4 linked regions of the Sus scrofa genome follow. The protein of the gene in region 1 purifies or fractionates together with the protein of each later gene. This does not show direct contact. Links are inferred from orthologs where the notes say so. Each region holds a gene or a part of one and is shown in the gene's direction. Other genes may lie near its edges.

The links. The genes of interacting proteins can lie anywhere in the genome.
Region 2: the proteins of lysine-specific demethylase 6A-like (region 1) and PAXIP1 purify together in Homo sapiens (affinity purification with mass spectrometry; 6 studies listed by BioGRID and IntAct, with this or other methods). This does not show direct contact. The link is inferred for Sus scrofa from reciprocal best matches to the Homo sapiens genes KDM6A and PAXIP1.
Region 3: the proteins of lysine-specific demethylase 6A-like (region 1) and PAGR1 purify together in Homo sapiens (affinity purification with mass spectrometry; 5 studies listed by BioGRID and IntAct, with this or other methods). This does not show direct contact. The link is inferred for Sus scrofa from reciprocal best matches to the Homo sapiens genes KDM6A and PAGR1.
Region 4: the proteins of lysine-specific demethylase 6A-like (region 1) and WDR5 purify together in Homo sapiens (affinity purification with mass spectrometry; 7 studies listed by BioGRID and IntAct, counting the BioPlex papers as one, with this or other methods). This does not show direct contact. The link is inferred for Sus scrofa from reciprocal best matches to the Homo sapiens genes KDM6A and WDR5.

Annotation. Positions count from the first base shown.
Region 1 is NC_010462.3:8,955,470-8,958,979, reverse strand, and holds part of lysine-specific demethylase 6A-like, read left to right. Parts: intron 1-49; coding exon 50-148; intron 149-260; coding exon 261-480; intron 481-995; coding exon 996-1,130; intron 1,131-1,579; coding exon 1,580-1,735; intron 1,736-2,220; coding exon 2,221-2,316; intron 2,317-3,510. UniProt on the Homo sapiens protein: Histone demethylase that specifically demethylates 'Lys-27' of histone H3, thereby playing a central role in histone code. Demethylates trimethylated and dimethylated but not monomethylated H3 'Lys-27'.
Region 2 is NC_010460.4:3,065,378-3,069,652, forward strand, and holds the start of PAXIP1 (PAX-interacting protein 1), read left to right. Parts: upstream 1-1,475; 5' UTR 1,476-1,594; coding exon 1,595-1,675; intron 1,676-4,024; coding exon 4,025-4,159; intron 4,160-4,275.
Region 3 is NC_010445.4:18,051,343-18,055,478, forward strand, and holds the start of PAGR1 (PAXIP1-associated glutamate-rich protein 1), read left to right. Parts: upstream 1-1,336; 5' UTR 1,337-1,812; coding exon 1,813-2,294; intron 2,295-2,456; coding exon 2,457-2,539; intron 2,540-4,136. UniProt on the Homo sapiens protein: Its association with the histone methyltransferase MLL2/MLL3 complex is suggesting a role in epigenetic transcriptional activation. However, in association with PAXIP1/PTIP is proposed to function at least in part independently of the MLL2/MLL3 complex.
Region 4 is NC_010443.5:273,558,851-273,563,078, forward strand, and holds the start of WDR5 (WD repeat-containing protein 5), read left to right. Parts: upstream 1-1,428; 5' UTR 1,429-1,544; intron 1,545-4,188; 5' UTR 4,189-4,228.

The DNA of each region.
Region 1 (3,510 bases):
GACATATACATGTGTCTGTATATGTTTATATATTTCCATCCTCTTTCAGGTGCTACTCAAGTATTGGGAAAGTTCAGGATGCCTTTATATCTTACAGGCAATCTATTGATAAATCAGAAGCAAGTGCAGATACTTGGTGTTCAATAGGGTAAGGACTATGATACTGTTTTATTGATTCACAAGTTTATTGAGATACATCTAATGTTCTTTGTATTAATATTTCACTAGTCAGTTTTAGACAACTTTATTTCTCTTTCCAGTGTGCTCTATCAGCAGCAAAATCAGCCTATGGATGCATTACAGGCCTATATATGTGCCGTACAGTTGGACCATGGGCATGCAGCAGCCTGGATGGACCTAGGCACTCTTTATGAATCCTGCAATCAACCTCAGGATGCCATTAAATGCTATTTAAATGCAACTAGAAGCAAAAGTTGTAGTAATACCTCTGTGCTCACAGGAAGAATTAAGTTTTTACAGGTAATTTTTTGAAATAGCCTATCTTAAAAGATATTTCCATATGTTAACTGGCACAGGGAGGGTGGCTGAAAAGTGTCTTTTTGTTTTTATGTCAGCAACTTTTTTCATAATTTTTAATACTTTAGTAGTGTTTTACTTTTCACTTTAAGATAGTCTGTATTTAAAGTGTTCTTTTGAATTTTTACTTTGATGATGCATCTTAGTTTGCATTATTTTGACTGCTATTTACATTTTTAAGTTACAGCATTTTAGAGAAAAGAACACTGGTTTTCATTCATGCTTGAAATGTCATGAGACAGTATCCATGTGAATTCTGAAATAGAGAATTTAGCTTTGTTCTCATTCTCTCGAATATATTCTAGTCACCCTCTTTATATAGCAAATATCTGAAACCACACATTTACAGTTTGTTTTCTTTAAGAAATAAATACCTATAGCATTGAGGAAGTTTTAGTGGACTTGCTCTTACTCTGGTAGTCCTGTGTTAAATTTGCTTTTTACATAATTTTTCCTAGGCTCAGTTGTGTAACCTTCCACAAGGTAGTCTACAGAATAAAACTAAATTACTTCCTAGTATTGAGGAGGCATGGAGCCTACCAATACCTGCAGAGCTTACCTCCAGGCAGGGTGCCATGAACACAGCACAGCAGGTGAGAAGTTGGGTTATCTTCTGTAGGTGCCCAGCTTTAAGGGTTCTTTCCAATCTGTAGTGATCAGATCTAAGTTACTAAGTGCAGGATTGGCTTTTTCTAAAAGATAAAAATCCTTCAAATTTAATTGCAAAAGGATTATAGATCAAAATAAAACTTTGGGAAGAAACATGGAGTACAGTTTAATACTTGTGTATAATTTTCATGATTTCAAAAGGGAATCCTAAGGGACTGTTATAAAGTGATTTATTTAATTTTTTAGAAACCAGGTTTTTTGAAAGCAGGTACACATTCCTCCATTGATGATTCATTCAATTTTGATTTTCAATTACAATCCATGATGTCCACATAGTTTTTGAAGAGTATGCAGCTTATAATGTTTTGCAATTTAAAGTCATGAATTAAGAATATTTGGAACCATATTTGTGTTTTACTTCTACCATTCTTAGGCTTACAAAGCTCATCATCCAAATACTGAACCTGTTTTAGGCCTCAATCAAACACCAATTTCACAGCAGTCCTTGCCAGTGCATATGATTACTTCTAGCCAAATAGATGGCCTGTCCAGTCCTGCCAAGAAGAAAAGAACATCTAGTCCAACAAAGGTATATATGTACATTTTAGAGAAACAGAAAATTCCAATTAGAATGAAGCTCTCAGTCTCCTGAAATTGGTGCCTATCTTTTAAAACTATGTACATCAGAGAGAGGAGTCATCAGATATTTTGCTATTATAAGCAGTATTTCCTATCCTAAAATTACAGTATAATTTAAATATAGAAAGGAAGTGTAATTTTATGTTCTTTGATTCATTTTACCCATTTCCCTGCTTTTACAGATTTAACTTACTTGTTACCACCTCTTTCTATGTAAATTGTTGAATATAATGAACAGCATGTTAGGTCTTTGAGTCATAGTTTAGATAAGAACCTTTGAACATGAAGTTAAAGAATAAATGAAATTTCAGACCTCATACCTTTCAAATTGATTGTGTATTAAGTAAATTCTCCAGTTCCTAGTTATTTAGTATCTCTGTTGGTGTATTGATTTAACCAAATATTTTTGAATTTTTGAAAATAAATTTTCCTCAGAATAGTTCTGAGAACTGGGATAGTGGCCAAAGTGTTTCACATGCTTCAGTACAGCAACAAGTTCATTCATGGAGTTTGACACCACAGAAATTACAGGTATGAAATATTCTTTTGACAGTTTTAACTAAAGCAGTGAGGGTAGTAAACTTGAATTTTTTTTTTAGATATTCTTAAAATTGAATAACAGTAAACTAAATTAATATGTATATAAGTATAATGAACCTGTGTATTCCAGAGTAACAGAGATGATAACTCATTTTTGCTTTTTTAAAGAAGTAATATATCATTTGTTTGAAATTGAAGAATAATTAGAAAATAGGTTGCACAGGTTTAAAGCGTCTTTCTAGTTCCTGTGTCCAGCAACTTAATTTTCCTTCCCTACAGATAACATTAATAGTTTATTTTGTTTTTTTTACTAGCAATTCACTTGAAATGTACAAGAAACTATACTGGTCTCATTTATTTTTGTCCTTTATGCAAATGTCCATAGACTGTTCTGTGTAAATATTAGGACTGTGTCTTCTCCCCAGTTATTTCCCTGAAAGATTTGTCTATAAGACTTTTCATGTCTTTTATATTGCTTCTTTGCTGTTTTTTAGCTGTATAAAATAGCATTTACATGAGAGACAAACATCTTATGCTATCATGTGTGGACTCTGAAAAAAAGGATACAAATGAACTTATTTGCAGAACAGATTTACAGACTTTGAAAAAAACTTATGGTTACCAGAGACAGGTTGGGGTTGGGAGAGGGACAGACTGGGGTTTGGGAATGGAAACATTCTGAAATTAGGTTGTGACAGTTATAAATATAATAATAAAGTTCATTGAATTAAAAAAAAATTCATGGGAGTCGCTGTCTTGGGTCAACAATAACAAACCCACCTAGTATCCATGAGGACGCTGTTTGATCCCTGCCCTCAATCCCTGCCCTCGTTAAGTGGGTTAGGGATCTGCATGTTGCCTTGAGCTATGATATAGGTTGCAGACACAGATTGGATCATGCATGTCTATGGCTGTGGTGTAGGCTGGGACCTATAGCTGGAACTCACTGTCTAGCTTAGGAATTTACATGTACCCTTAAAAGACAAAAAACTTTAAAAATACATGGAAGCCACCCAATATTGATTGAATTTCTATTGTTGAATTTTTTTTCAGTGTTTCTGTTACACTTCTATTATTTCTGTTACAAACAGTGTTCCTTTTAAGTAGTTTTGTGATACAGGATTTTAAAGTTAAAGGGCAGACAAAAATTACCTTCTTTAGATGAATATTTTTTTAACCCTCCTT
Region 2 (4,275 bases), on another chromosome or scaffold:
ATATTTAAAAGGCTTATCGTATCCTTACTTGCTACTCATACAAAATCATTTATTACACACAAGTGTACAATCAAAACCCTATTCACCGTTTTTAAAAAGTCAGTGTACATTGTACCGATCAATGAGCCGACCACGTCAACTTTCACGTTCAGAACGTCTCCCTTATCGCAGACTTAAAGTGATACAACAAAGGCCTCTGAGATGAGTTAGGGTTGTATTAAGGTGCCACAGTACCTTGGAAAGGTTTCTCTCCTAACCAATTACACTACCGTTTATTTAAAAGGGCTTGGAGTTCCCGTCGTGGCGCAGTGGTTAACGAATCCGACTAGGAACCATGAGGTTGCGGGTTCGGTCCCTGCCCTTGCTCAGTGAGTTAACGATCCGGCGTTGCCGTGACCTGTGGTGTAGGTTGCAGACGCGGCTCGGATCCTGCGTTGCTGGTGGCTACAGCTCCAATTCGACCCCTAGCCTGGGAACCTCCATATGCCGTGGAAGCGGCCCAAGAAATAGCAAAAAGACAAAAAATAAAATAAAAAATAAATAAATAAAAGGGCTTTACCGCTTGGAAGGTAGCGGCAGCAGTGGGTAATGGTTTGAACCACTTGGGGGAGGAAACTGTGGGGCTGATTCACGTGCATTTTCACGCTCAGGCGCCTCAGGGCCTCTGGGCCTCGGTGGATCCGGGGAGCCTGGCGTCCCGCAGCCGCAGCGCCGCCCCATCCCGTGCCCGCGCAGGTGCGCCCGGAGCGCTGCTGGGAGAGCAGGTGCGCCCGGAGCGCCGGTCTCCAGGCGCCACCGGATGACGTCAGAGCGCGCGAAGACGTCATGACCGTCTGTCGTCAGCAGAGCCGGAGGGAGGGGCGCGGGGCTCGTTTTTTTGACGGTCCGGGTCCCGGGAGGAGCAGGTTCGGGCGACGGCGAGAAGCCACTGGCCGCGAGCGCGCGCCCGGGGAGCTGGTTACGCGGCCTAGCGCCCTCATCCTCCAGCCAAGACTCAGGACCCTTTCCTGGGCCTTAGGCGTTACCTCGGGTCCTGCCAGGCAGCAGCCGGCGACGCTCCGTCTCTGTGCGCCCCAGACCCCGAAGCCGGACCCGTTCCCTCCGTGGTTGCCGTCGCCGGCCCGCCCCTCCGCGGTGCGCATGCGCCGCCCTTGCGGCCGCGCGTGTCGACGGGAGGGCCGCCCGTACCCTTCTTTCCCGGGACCGGCCCACTCCAGCCTTGACGGGGGGGCGCGTTTCCCCGCGAGCACGGGGCTTCCTGCTGTGGGGACGGCGGCGGCCACGGCCCCCTGGCTCTGGAGTGGGCCGTTCGGTACCCGTGTCCCCGGTGCCGCGGGCCGCAAGACGGACACCGGGTGGGGCGGGCCGAGCGCCTAACTTGGGCGCTCCCCCTCGGCGTCGGGCGGGATGGTGCGGCCCGCAGGGCGCGCGCGGCTCCCGCGCTCGGGCGGCCCGGCGCGGGCGGGGGCGCAGAGGGCGGGGGAGCGGGCCCGACTTGCAGGACCGGGCCGGGGCCGCGCCGTTGGGGAGCGGGCCCCGCGGGGCTGGCCGGGCGGGGCAGGAGCCGCCGCGGAGCCTTCGGGCCGCCGCGACCATGTCGGACCAGGCGCCCAAAGTTCCCGAGGAGATGTTCCGGGAGGTCAAGTACTACGCGGTGGGCGACATCGACCCGCAGGTACCACACCGCCCCCGCACCGTCCTCCGCGTCCCCGGCTCTGCTCCCGCCCCGGGCGCGCGCCTGCACGTTGAACGTCCGGGACCTCTTGCCCCAAGCCCGCCGGCCTGGCTGCGCGGAGGCCGGGCCGCCTGGCGCCCAGCAGGCCGGCGGTGGGGGCCGGAGGGAAGGGGGTCTGCGGGACCCGCGGGCGGGGAAAGGAGAGGTCCTGGGAGTGGAAACTTGAAGAGGAGGGTGTGCCCAGATGGGGGGGGGAAGGGCACGTGGGTGGGGGTCTGCGCTAAGAGTCGGTTGTCACGGTCCCCGCGTGGTGGGGGACCGGGGTGCTGTCGCGGAGCTGCCTTGTCCGCTTCCCACTCTGCCCCTTTGTGGGGAGGAATCCAGACAGGGACACCCTACCTGCTGCCAGCTCCAGCTGCCTGGGCCCCGCCAACAGTGGGTCCCGCGGGGACGGGTTGGCTACGGGAACTTTGGCAGGAGGTGCTGAGTAGGGGCCTGGGTTCCTGGCTGCGGAGGGGCAGTTAGTTGCCCCTGGTGTGGCAGCCACCTGAGGTCGTACGTCTGCAACTAGTGTGTGGCCTTGAAGTTTACTACCAGCGACTTCGTGTTTCTTGGTTTTCCTAAATATACAGTAAGTGTGGGTAATGCGCTGTTAATACGGTCACACGAAACATTTTCTTGTGTGACCTCACGCCAAAGGATATTGTCGCCTTTCCTAAGTTTTTTGTAAGTCATACATCTGTTGGAACGTCAGCATGTTAATTTTCCATGGTGGGAACCTACCTTTATTGAATATTCAGCTGAATCTCAGGCTACTCGCTTTCCTAAAGCTCATGTGTAGGAAAAGACGGCTGTACTGTCTTGATGTCTCCTCAGGAGTGGAGACAGATACTTAACAGACTTGGGTGGCATGGAAGGAATTGTGAAAGGCCGATTGGTTTGGGCCTTCTGGAGGTGTCTGTGGTGGTATTTTAGGAACCAGATGCCCTTGGATGACTCCCAGGGTGCACCCTTTCTTCTACGGTAAGCGTCAAGAGGCTTGGGATTTAATAGTGAACAGGTGCTGAGCTCAGAGTGACGGCTTCTTCCTTCTGACTACGGATTTCCCTTTCTTCACTCTCCACTCTTCTCCTCCCTGCTTCCTACCTCATTTTAGGACTTTGGCTGTTGAGAGGGACCTGAACCAAATGTTACTTAAAACCTGGACCAAGCTGAACAGGAGTCATGTTCACTCAACTGTTAATCAAGTCTAAGGGCTTTTAAAGTGTCCTTGGCAAACCACTTTGATCCAAAACAAAGTATTTTCTAAAAAAAAAAAAAAAACTTTACAGCCAGAGTATTTGATTCTCTGAATCCTCGAAACGTGGATGCAGAGCATTCACGTGTGTTGGTTTCACTCCCCACCCTGTGCTCGGTGCTTGAGGGCTCATTCGCTCTCTGGGCCTTGGCCCCGTCTCAGATGGGGCCCAGGTCTCATCCTCAGACGTGCTGGGTGTCTTTCTAGGTCTCACAGTGGCACCGAAGAGGGACGTGCCCTAAACAAACACACAGTCCTCATCCCCGCAGTGTTTCTCCGACACAGGCCCCTTGGAGGCACCTAGTCTTGCTGGTGCTCTCACATCGCTTCTTGCCCCTAATGACCTGCTTTTCCCTTAGTTACCTGCCTCTTTCGCCTGAATGTTCATAGCTGTTTCTTAACAGGCGTCCTGGCTCCAGACCTGCAGCCAACCCCATGTGTTCTTCTTACACTGTCAGGGATCTTCCTGTAAGATCTGATCAGGCCGCTTCCCTGCTTCACACCTTTCTGTGCCTCCAGAAGACAGCTCTGTATTTTGGGGTAAAACCCAGCGGGTTTTGCGTAGCGCCTGTGACACTGCCATCGAGGGTCTCATCATCGTCTTCACCTGCCCATTGTGTTGAATGCTCCTCATGCCACACCGCGTGCGTATTTTTGCCTGGTGATGCCTCTGAATTCACAAGGACACCACGCCTGTAGCTCCTCTGCAGAAACTTTTCCACTTACTGGAAACCATGCATCCCCAAGCCTTGAGGGTAGACCTGGATGGGTTGTGTCCTAGCCGGGTCTCTGCTGTGTTCACCTCGTCCGTCCTCGGGGACTGGCTGGTACGTGGTTCGCCGTCGCTTCCACATGGACCAGTCAGCGCATCAAGATTTGCTGCTTTTTATTGTCCCCACGTGTTTCATTGCATGTGACTCAGTGAAAGAGTCTTAATCCCACGTGGAAAACGTGGTGTGTGTTTATTAGAAACTTTGTTGTTCATGGTAATTTGTATAAGTTGAGAATGAAATGGGGTGTTTTCCATTTTAATTCATGTGGTTTTTTCCAAGGTCATTCAGCTTTTGAAAGCCGGGAAAGCCAAGGAAGTGTCCTACAATGCGCTAGCCTCGCACATCATCTCGGAAGACGGGGACAATCCCGAAGTGGGGGAAGCGCGGGAAGTCTTCGATCTCCCTGTCGTAAAGGTTGGTAGTGAATTTAACTCTACTGTTTATCACACAGCGTGACGTTTCAGCGCAGCTCTTGCCAGAGTTTGCTTAGGTGCCGCCTGGATGGGAGGCCACCGGGTGAAGGCAGCTCT
Region 3 (4,136 bases), on another chromosome or scaffold:
AGCAGCCTTGTTTACAGCTTCTTTCCTGCTCCTGCATCCTGCCAGGCTCCTCTGCCAACCGTAGGCCTCCCTGTTCCCTGCTCTGTGTCCAACCTCCCTGCACTTTTGCCTGCCTCCCCTTCAGCCTCTTGGCTTCCCTACCCCTGCACTTCTGGAAACCTCCCTGCACTTCTGGAAACCTCCTTGCACTTCTGGAAACCTCCCTGACCATCTCCCAGACTCTCTTTGCTCTCAGCCTTCCTGCATCTCTTGCGGCCTTCCTGCACTACACCCTCCCGAGTCCCCTGCACCTCATCCCGGATCTCCATTTCCCAACTTTTTATTGTCTCAGCATCCCCCCCTCCCCCCCCTCCTCTCTTCCTTCCCTTCCTCATTCATCTCCTCTTCCCTCTCCACACCCTCCACCCCCTTCCTCTTCCTGCCTCCTCATCTCCCCTCTGCATCCTCTCCTCCACCCTCCTCCACCGTTTATTCTGCAAAAACTCCAGCACTTAGATCAGGCTGGGGGAGGGGAGCGGTGTCTGGAGAGGGCTCCCTAGCCCGGGCTCGCGACTGTTCTCTGCAGGGACTACCCAGGCCCAGACACCCCCGGGGTGCCTCGGGGTCGCAGAGCTGGCAAGCCGGGCCTCGTTTGTAGATTTGTGCAGGGGTGGCGGGTACTGTTCCGAACAAGCACCTGGTAGAAGGGAGGGGCGAGGCTCTCGAACCCTCCCCGGTCGGCCCGAGCTGACCTGCCCCGCCTGGGCTTTTTAACCCAGTCGGTTTGTTAAAGGCGTCGCGGCTGGAGTCATTCACGTGCTTTGTAACTGTAAGAACAGAAAAAATTGGACCAAAGCTCCCAGCTGCAGGGAGCAAAGAAGGGGCGGAGAGAGCTGCGATTATTTTCTAAGAGGACGAGAGAGGTTTGTTGCACGCGACAGTTCACTGGGGAGGCAGGGTCTGAGCCACAACGCGGTTCGGAGTTGGTTTGGTTTTGGTTTTTTTGTGTTTTTTTTAATATAAAAAAAAGCGTAGGGAAAAAACCTAAAAGTCTTTAAAAAAAAAAAAAAAAAGGATACATCAAACTGATTCTCCCTTTTTGTATGCCGGATGCTGCATGAGTCTGAAACACCAATAAACGGAGACTGCATGATACTCGCCTCCAGCCTCAGTTGGTCCTTACGTGCCTGCGCCGCGGGGCCGGAGGTACAGCCTCCTTTGGGGCACAACCTACTAGGTGATTTGCGCATGCGCCACCCCCGTGGCCATCTTTACTGTGGGCCGAAGCCTATCGTTCCCGAGCGCCTACCTGCGCATGTGCAAGCCTCCCCTTGCTTTCCTCTCCCAAGTAGCTTTGACTAAAGCGGAGCCTCCCGCGCCGTATCTGTGCGCCTGCGTACTTTGACCCTGCGCGGCCCGGGAGGCGGGTCTTAGCTCCAGGTGCGTACGGCCGCTGAGGTGGGGGACCTTCGAGGTGTGGGGAGAGGACGCCGCATCCAGGTGTAGAGCGGCGTAGTGCGGAGGCGAGAAGAGCGGGTCCGCCCGTCTCCGGCCCGGAAAGTGGTTTCTGCCGCTCGCTGGAAACCTCGGAGTACCGGATCTCGATCTGTGGGGGGCGGGGTCCTTGGAGGGGACTGAGCGCCCCCTCCTGGGAACCGGTGGTCTGGTCGCGAGACCGCTGTTGGAGCCTGATTGGTTAGCGAAACAGTCCCCGAACCCCGGGGTGATCCCTTTTTTTGGGAGGGAGTGGAGGGAGGGAGGGGGCGCGGGGGGAATCCCCGGCTTGGTACTCCTGCATCTCCTGGCATCGCTGGGCCCCTTCCCTAGTGGCTTATGTCCCTTGTCCGGGGTCATGGAGACACGGCAGCCACCGCGGCGGCGCCTCTGTCTGAAGAAGGGGAAGTGACCTCCGGCCTCCAGGCTCTGGCCGTGGAGGACACCGGAGGCCCCTCTGCTTCGGCCGATAAAGCCGAGGAAGAGGGGGAAGGAGGCCGGGAGGAGGCCGAACATGAGGGGTCCAGGGCCGAGGAAGTGCAGGGAGAAGCCCCCAGCACTGAGGGGGAAGAGCCCGCCCAGGGAGACTCCGAGGACTGGTGCGTGCCCTGCAGCGATGAAGAGGTGGAGCTGCCTGAGGATGGGCAGCCCTGGATGCCACCTCCCTCCGAAATCCAACGGCTCTATGAACTGCTGGCTGCCCACGGTACCCTGGAGCTTCAGGCAGAGATCCTGCCCCGCCGACCACCTACGCCTGAGGCCCAGAGTGAAGAGGAAAGATCTGATGAGGAACCCGAGGCCAAAGAGGAGGAAGAGGAAAAGTGAGGATTGCTTCCTTGATGCCAGGAGGAAATAGGGAGGGAGGTGGGACCCAGGAGCATGGGAAGTTAGAGGGAGGGGAAGAGCCCGAAGGCCCGGGAGAAGCACCAGTGGAGGTTTGGAAGGATCTCCCTCACCCTCCTCTCTCTCTCCACCTGTCCCAGGCCGCACATGCCCACAGAATTTGATTTTGATGATGAGCCAATGACACCAAAGGACTCCCTGATTGACCGGAGGCGCACCCCAGGTACAGACAAGAGTGGAGAATGGGGGGCGCGGGGGGGCCTCTGTTCCCACTTACTCCGAAAGGGACTCCCTGAAAGAGGTCTTTGAGGCGTTCTCTGATGGCTTAGTGGCAAAGGACCCAGCATTGTCACTGCTTTGGCACAGGTTCGAACCTTGGCCTGGGAACTTCCACATTCCATGGGTGTGGTCAAAAAAAAAAAAAAAAAAAAGGTCTCTGCTTGGTTCCTTGGTAGCTACACAAATCACAGCTTCAGGGGAGAGCGTGCACTCAGTGGTTGCCATCCTTCCAGTCTAGGTGGTACCCAATTTTCTTTTAAAAGATTATCACAGGTAATTCTATCATATTTCCCATTCCTTTGGTCTCATTTCCCCCCCACCCCCATCCCAGAAGTCCGAGTCTTCTTGGTCATTATCTAGCTCCACATCCCTATGCTACTGCGTACACCTCCTAATCTGACCTAGCTTCCCATGCCTAGAGTTTACCGTCAGAGCCATTCTCTCTCTCTCTCTTGTGTGTGTGTGTGTTTAGGGCTGCATCTGCGGCATATGGAGGTTCCCAGGCTAGGGGTCAAATCAGAGCTATAGCTGCTGGCCTACACCACAGCCACAGCAACATGAGATCTAAGCCACATCTGGGACCTACACCACGGCTCATGGCAACACCGGATCCTTAGCCCACTGAGTGGGGCCAGGGATCGAACCCGAATCCTCATGGATACTAGTCAGGTTCGTTAACCTCTGAGCCAAGACGGGAACTCCTCTCAGAGCCATTCTTGATTTCTCTTTCTTTCTTTTTTTTTTTTTTTTTTTGTCTTTTGTCTTTTTTTGTTGTTGTTGTTGTTGTTATTGTTGTTATTTCTTGGGCCGCTCCCGCGGCATATGGAGGGTCCCAGGCTAGGGGTCTAATGGGAGCTGTAGCCGCCAGCCTATGCCAGAGCCACAGCAACGCGGGATCCGAGCCGCGCCTGCAACCTACACCACAGCTCACGGCAACGCCGGATCGTTAACCCGCTGAGCAAGGGCAGGGATTGAACCCGCAACCTCATGGTTCCTAGTCGGATTTGTTAACCACTGCGCCACGACGGGAACTCCCGATTTCTCTTTCTTTTATGTCAACATTCAAACCAGCAGCAAGTCTTGTTAGGTCTGCCTCCACATTTCCAAATTCAGCTACTAGTCTCTGTCTTTAATGTGACACCCTGATCCAAGCCGTCTCTCTTTCAAAACATAAGTCAGCTCAAATCTGTTTTAAATTTTTTTAAATTATTATTATTTTATTTTTAGGGCCTCAAGTGTGGCAAATGGAGGTTTCCAGGCTAGCGGTCCAATTGGAGCTGCAGCCCCTGGCCTACACCACAGCAACACGTGATCCGGCCACATCTGCGACCTACACCACAGCTCACGGCAACACTGGATCCTTAACCCACTGAGCAAGGCCAGGGATCGAACCTGCAACCTCATGGTTCCTAGTAGGATTTGTTGCTGCTGTGCCACGACAGGAACTCCCAATTCTGTTTTAAATTCTCCGAAGGAGGAGTTCCTGCTTGGTGCAGTGGATTAAGAATCTGATTGCAGTGACTTGGTTCACTGGAGAGGGA
Region 4 (4,228 bases), on another chromosome or scaffold:
AGAGAGGTTTGGAAAAGGCCCGCAGGGAGGCCGGACTGGGGTAGGCGTGGTGAGAAGAGGATGGCTGCCTGTGAGAACTATGGGAGCGGTGATGGGGTGTATCAACAGAGATGAAACGGGCTGTGCTTGGGGCCAGGCAGCAGGTGGATGCAGATACTCTTCTTCATCCTGAGCTGGCTTGGTCACCTTTGGTGGTCACCGTCTCCTGCTCCAGGACACCTGACCCAAGGCGATGAGGCCTCCTGGGCACAGAGATCCACTCCCAGTCCTGCAGGGCCAGACAGGGATTTTGCGGCCCCTGCGTTCTCCTTGGAAGGGATCTTGGGCCAGCTGCCAGCCTTGTCTCCTGTATCTGTGACAACCACACTAGTATTCCCTGAGGCTTTCCACTTCAAATGCTCTGTCCTTGTTTGCACAGGTTCCTGTGTCATGTTCGGCGCCCCCCCCCCTTTTTAATTTGGCCGAGCCATGGCATGCAAAAGTTCTCAGGGCAGGGATCCAACCCTCGCCACAGCAGTGACAACGCTGAGGCCCTAACCGCTAGGCCACCAGGGAACTCCTAAGTGTTCCCATTTTTAATTGGGAAATAAACTGTGTTACTCTACCCACGGGCCTGGGTTGGGGCCGTGAGGCTGCCTAGCCCACGACCACCTCCACGACTCTAAGACCCACGTGGGTAGCAGAAGTGGGGCAGTGAGATGAGAATGTGCAGGATTTGGGGTGAGAACCCAGGCTCCAGGATCTCCTTGTGCCCCTGAGCCGTCCCTCTCTGGGCCTCCCCTCCCCACTTGCAGATGGAAGTTATAATACCTGTCTGGGCCATCACCCTGCAGGCAGCAGAGCAGCCTGCACGCGGTGACTATTCGTACCTCGGCGTTGGGGGCTCAGGAGAGGGCAGGTGCGCCCGGTGGGCTCCCTGCACCGAGAGGCGAGAGGCGGGCAGACCCCTCCGCCGGCCCTGCGCGGGAGTTGATGGGCAGAGTGCAGAGGACGCAGCCCCGGGAGAGGGCATTCTGAACACTTCGGAGCTCAGATTCCTCGCTTCACAGTTGGAAGGTGAGGGCCTCTGTACCGGGACGTCCCAAACATTGATGAAGACGCTCAGCCCAGGGCTCTGCCCAGAGCGCCGCCCTCTAGTGTGCGCGACGATGGAGGGCGGCGACCCCGCAGATGCCCCAAGTCAGAAGAAAGGTTGGGGCCCCGCCGCCGCTTGAATTCCACGGCGGCGGAACTCCACTCCTCCCTGGGGCGCCGCCGCAGAAGGACCGCCGGAACCTGTCACCTCCCGGGTTAACGCCTTTAAGCAGGAGCACACTGTCCCTTTAAGGCGTTGAGCCGAGCCGAGGCGTTTTGCTCCTCGCCGCTCCCCGTAGCTCCCCTCCGAGAGGCCGGCTTTGTGCGTTTGCCCCGCCCTCTCGCCCCGCCCCCGCGCACGCGCATTGCCGCTCGCCGCGCCGCCTAGTCGAGCTCGGCCCGGCTCCCGCCCAGGCGGCGGCAGACGCGACGCCCGGAGCGCCCGTCCTCAGCCCCTCGCCGCCCGGCAGGTAAGCTGGGGCCGCCCGGCCGGCGGACACGCTTCGGGGGGACGCGGGCTGGGGGTCGACGCCGGCGCACCCCGCGCCGTCCGTCGCGGCACGTGTTCTGGCGGGCCCGGCCCCGGCCCGGGTTCAGCCCCGCCGGGCCTCCCGGCGCAGACGCCCCGCGCCCGCCGCTTCGCCTCCGGGGCGCGAGCTTGGCTGCCCTTTTCCCCGCCGAGCGCCCAGCCCCCTCCGCAAACGGACTCGCACGGACCGCCGCGGAGCCCCTGGGACCCCCAGCTTCTCCCGCCCCCAGCGGTCAGGTGACGAGCCCCCAGCCCCGGGACTGCGACTTCCTTCTGGAGCCGGCGTGCATGACCCCTTTGCCTCCAGAGAAGCACCCCAGACCCCAGAGCCATCCAGTGCCTGGATGTGGCGCGCTGTCTGCCTTCCTCTGCTGCAGGGACGCCCCCACCTCAGCCCGCTCTGTACTCCCAGCCCGAGGCAGCCCCAGGCCCCATTGCTCCCTGAGAGTTCGGGGTTCCGGGGCTGCGGGGCTGCCGTCACGAAGGGAAGGCCCACCACGCCCTGCGGTGGAGCCTCGGACCCCTTCCAGTCTGGCTCGCGAGGGCCACTTTGGGGGATGTGGAAGATCATTCCTGGTGCCTTCTGGTCCCGCTTCTACCCGCTCAGGTCCCTTAGCCCCCGTCTGGCAAGTACTGAGTTAGACACTCTCCCCTGAGGTTGGCCCGGTTGGTAGAGGCAGCTGGGTAAGCTGGACCCCAGGTATGTCTGAGATTTCAGGTGGGGTGGTGAGCAGCGAGTCTCCTCACTCTGTGCGGGCCAGTTACCTCCTGTCTCGCCACACCTTGGCCCCAGTCTCTGGGGTGGCGCCCAGGCATCTGCATTTCGAGGCAGTCCAGGCGAGCACTCTGAAGTTTGGGAGGCTCAGCCTTAGGTGGTCAGACTCACCTGGGAGCCAAGAAGGAGCAAGTCGCAGGTGCTGGGGAGGCTGGCTCCAAACAAGGTGTCCAGAAATCGTATTTCTAAAGGTTGATTTCTGTACGTTAAGGTGTTGCTAGCTGAGGAGTGGGGCAGGGCTGGGGCACTTTTTCTGTCCCCCTATTGGATCCCCCGCTCCTCACCTGAAGGCAGCCAGTTCGCCCCACCTCCTGGTGGGTCTCAAGCCTCTGTGCTCCCTTTCGCACCCCAGACAGAGCCTCTTCTGTTCCTGCACGTGTTTAGCTCGGGGGAGGGGGGGCCTTCTCGCAGCTCTTGGCCTTGGTCTCATTGCCTCCGATGCTCAGTTCTGTGCAGAGGACTCTTCGGCCCACTTGTCCAGCCCAGCAAAGGGCAGGCAGTGCCGGGCTAATTGGCACGGCCTGCTTGCACTAACGACAGTCACAAGCGGCGAGTGCTTCCTGAGCCCCAGCTCTGTGCCAGCACTTTGCCCCCACACATCTGCTGACCTGCCCCTTCCTTGCCCTCCCCCAGCCCAGTACTTGAGCTTTGGGTGCTGCAGGCTCCATCCCTGCGCAGGGAGCCTTGCTCAGGTGACCAGCTGTTTCCCCTCCGCACAGCTCTGGCCACTCTGCACAGCTGGGTTGCGTTGACCTTTCTCTCCCATCTTCTTGGAGGGAGAGTTTGGGACTTGCTCTTGGTGATGGCTCCTGCTCCGCCTCAGTGTGACGAGAAACCTGTGCAAGCTTCCAGTTTGAGGCGCCAAGCTAGAATGTACAGCTTGTGAACCCAGCAGGTTAACAGTGGTGCCAGCTTCCGGGAGGTGGCTGGCCAGTGGGACTTGCGGGATGTCTGGGCGGCTCTGGAATAATGCTTGCCCTTGTTTCAGAATCACCTGGTGTGTTTCTGTGCCAAGTATCCCAGTGGCAGAATCCATTCTTGTGACAGAGGAAGCCAGTTGTACTGTGCAGCTTTTGAGTGGTTCCCGTTTTCATGCTGAAACCTAATTGAGCTGCCTCTTTCCCCCTTCTCTGCAGTGGGTCTTGCTTGCATAGCATCTGCGTACTTTAGGCTGCTTCTGTGGAGGGCTGGACTGGACCATGGGGACCCCAGTGGGCAGGGCCGGCTCTGGTTTGTGCTTTCTGGCCATGCTTTCGGCTCTTAGTGTTTTGGAAGCCGCCTTGTGTCTGCAGCCTGCACCCGGGACCTGGCAGCCCCTCCCCAGGAGGTGTGGACCACAGGCCCCGCTTCTGTGTTTTCAGATGTGGCTCTTCCTGCTCTCATGTCCCTTGGGATGTATTTAAGGATTTGGCTGAGTTTCCAAACTTCTGCACCCGGCAGCCCAGTCTCCTGTAATTTGGCGTGTTGGTTTCCTGACAAGACGCCTTTGGTCCATTGGGTTTCTTCTTTAATGTATCAGGGACTCTTTGAAGGGAGCCGCCTTTTGGCTGCCTGGACTGTGCTGCATTTCTACAGACTTCTGGGTGACAAACTAGGAAGCACCCTTGAGGGCGGGGTCTCTGGCCACTTTCACTGAAGGGCAGAGGGCAGCGCGGTACCTGCAGGGTTAGTGTGCAGTCAGGGTGGCCGGAACCTCAGGTTGGGACCGTACCTGCCATGGGCTCCGTTAGGCGGTCCGATGTTTTTGTAGTCTCTGTCCTGGACACTCTTCTGAAGGTTGGTCTGTTTCCTGGCCTCGTCCCCGCTGCAGGTTTGCATTAGCTGACGGCGCTCCCCACCTGCGGCTTCTG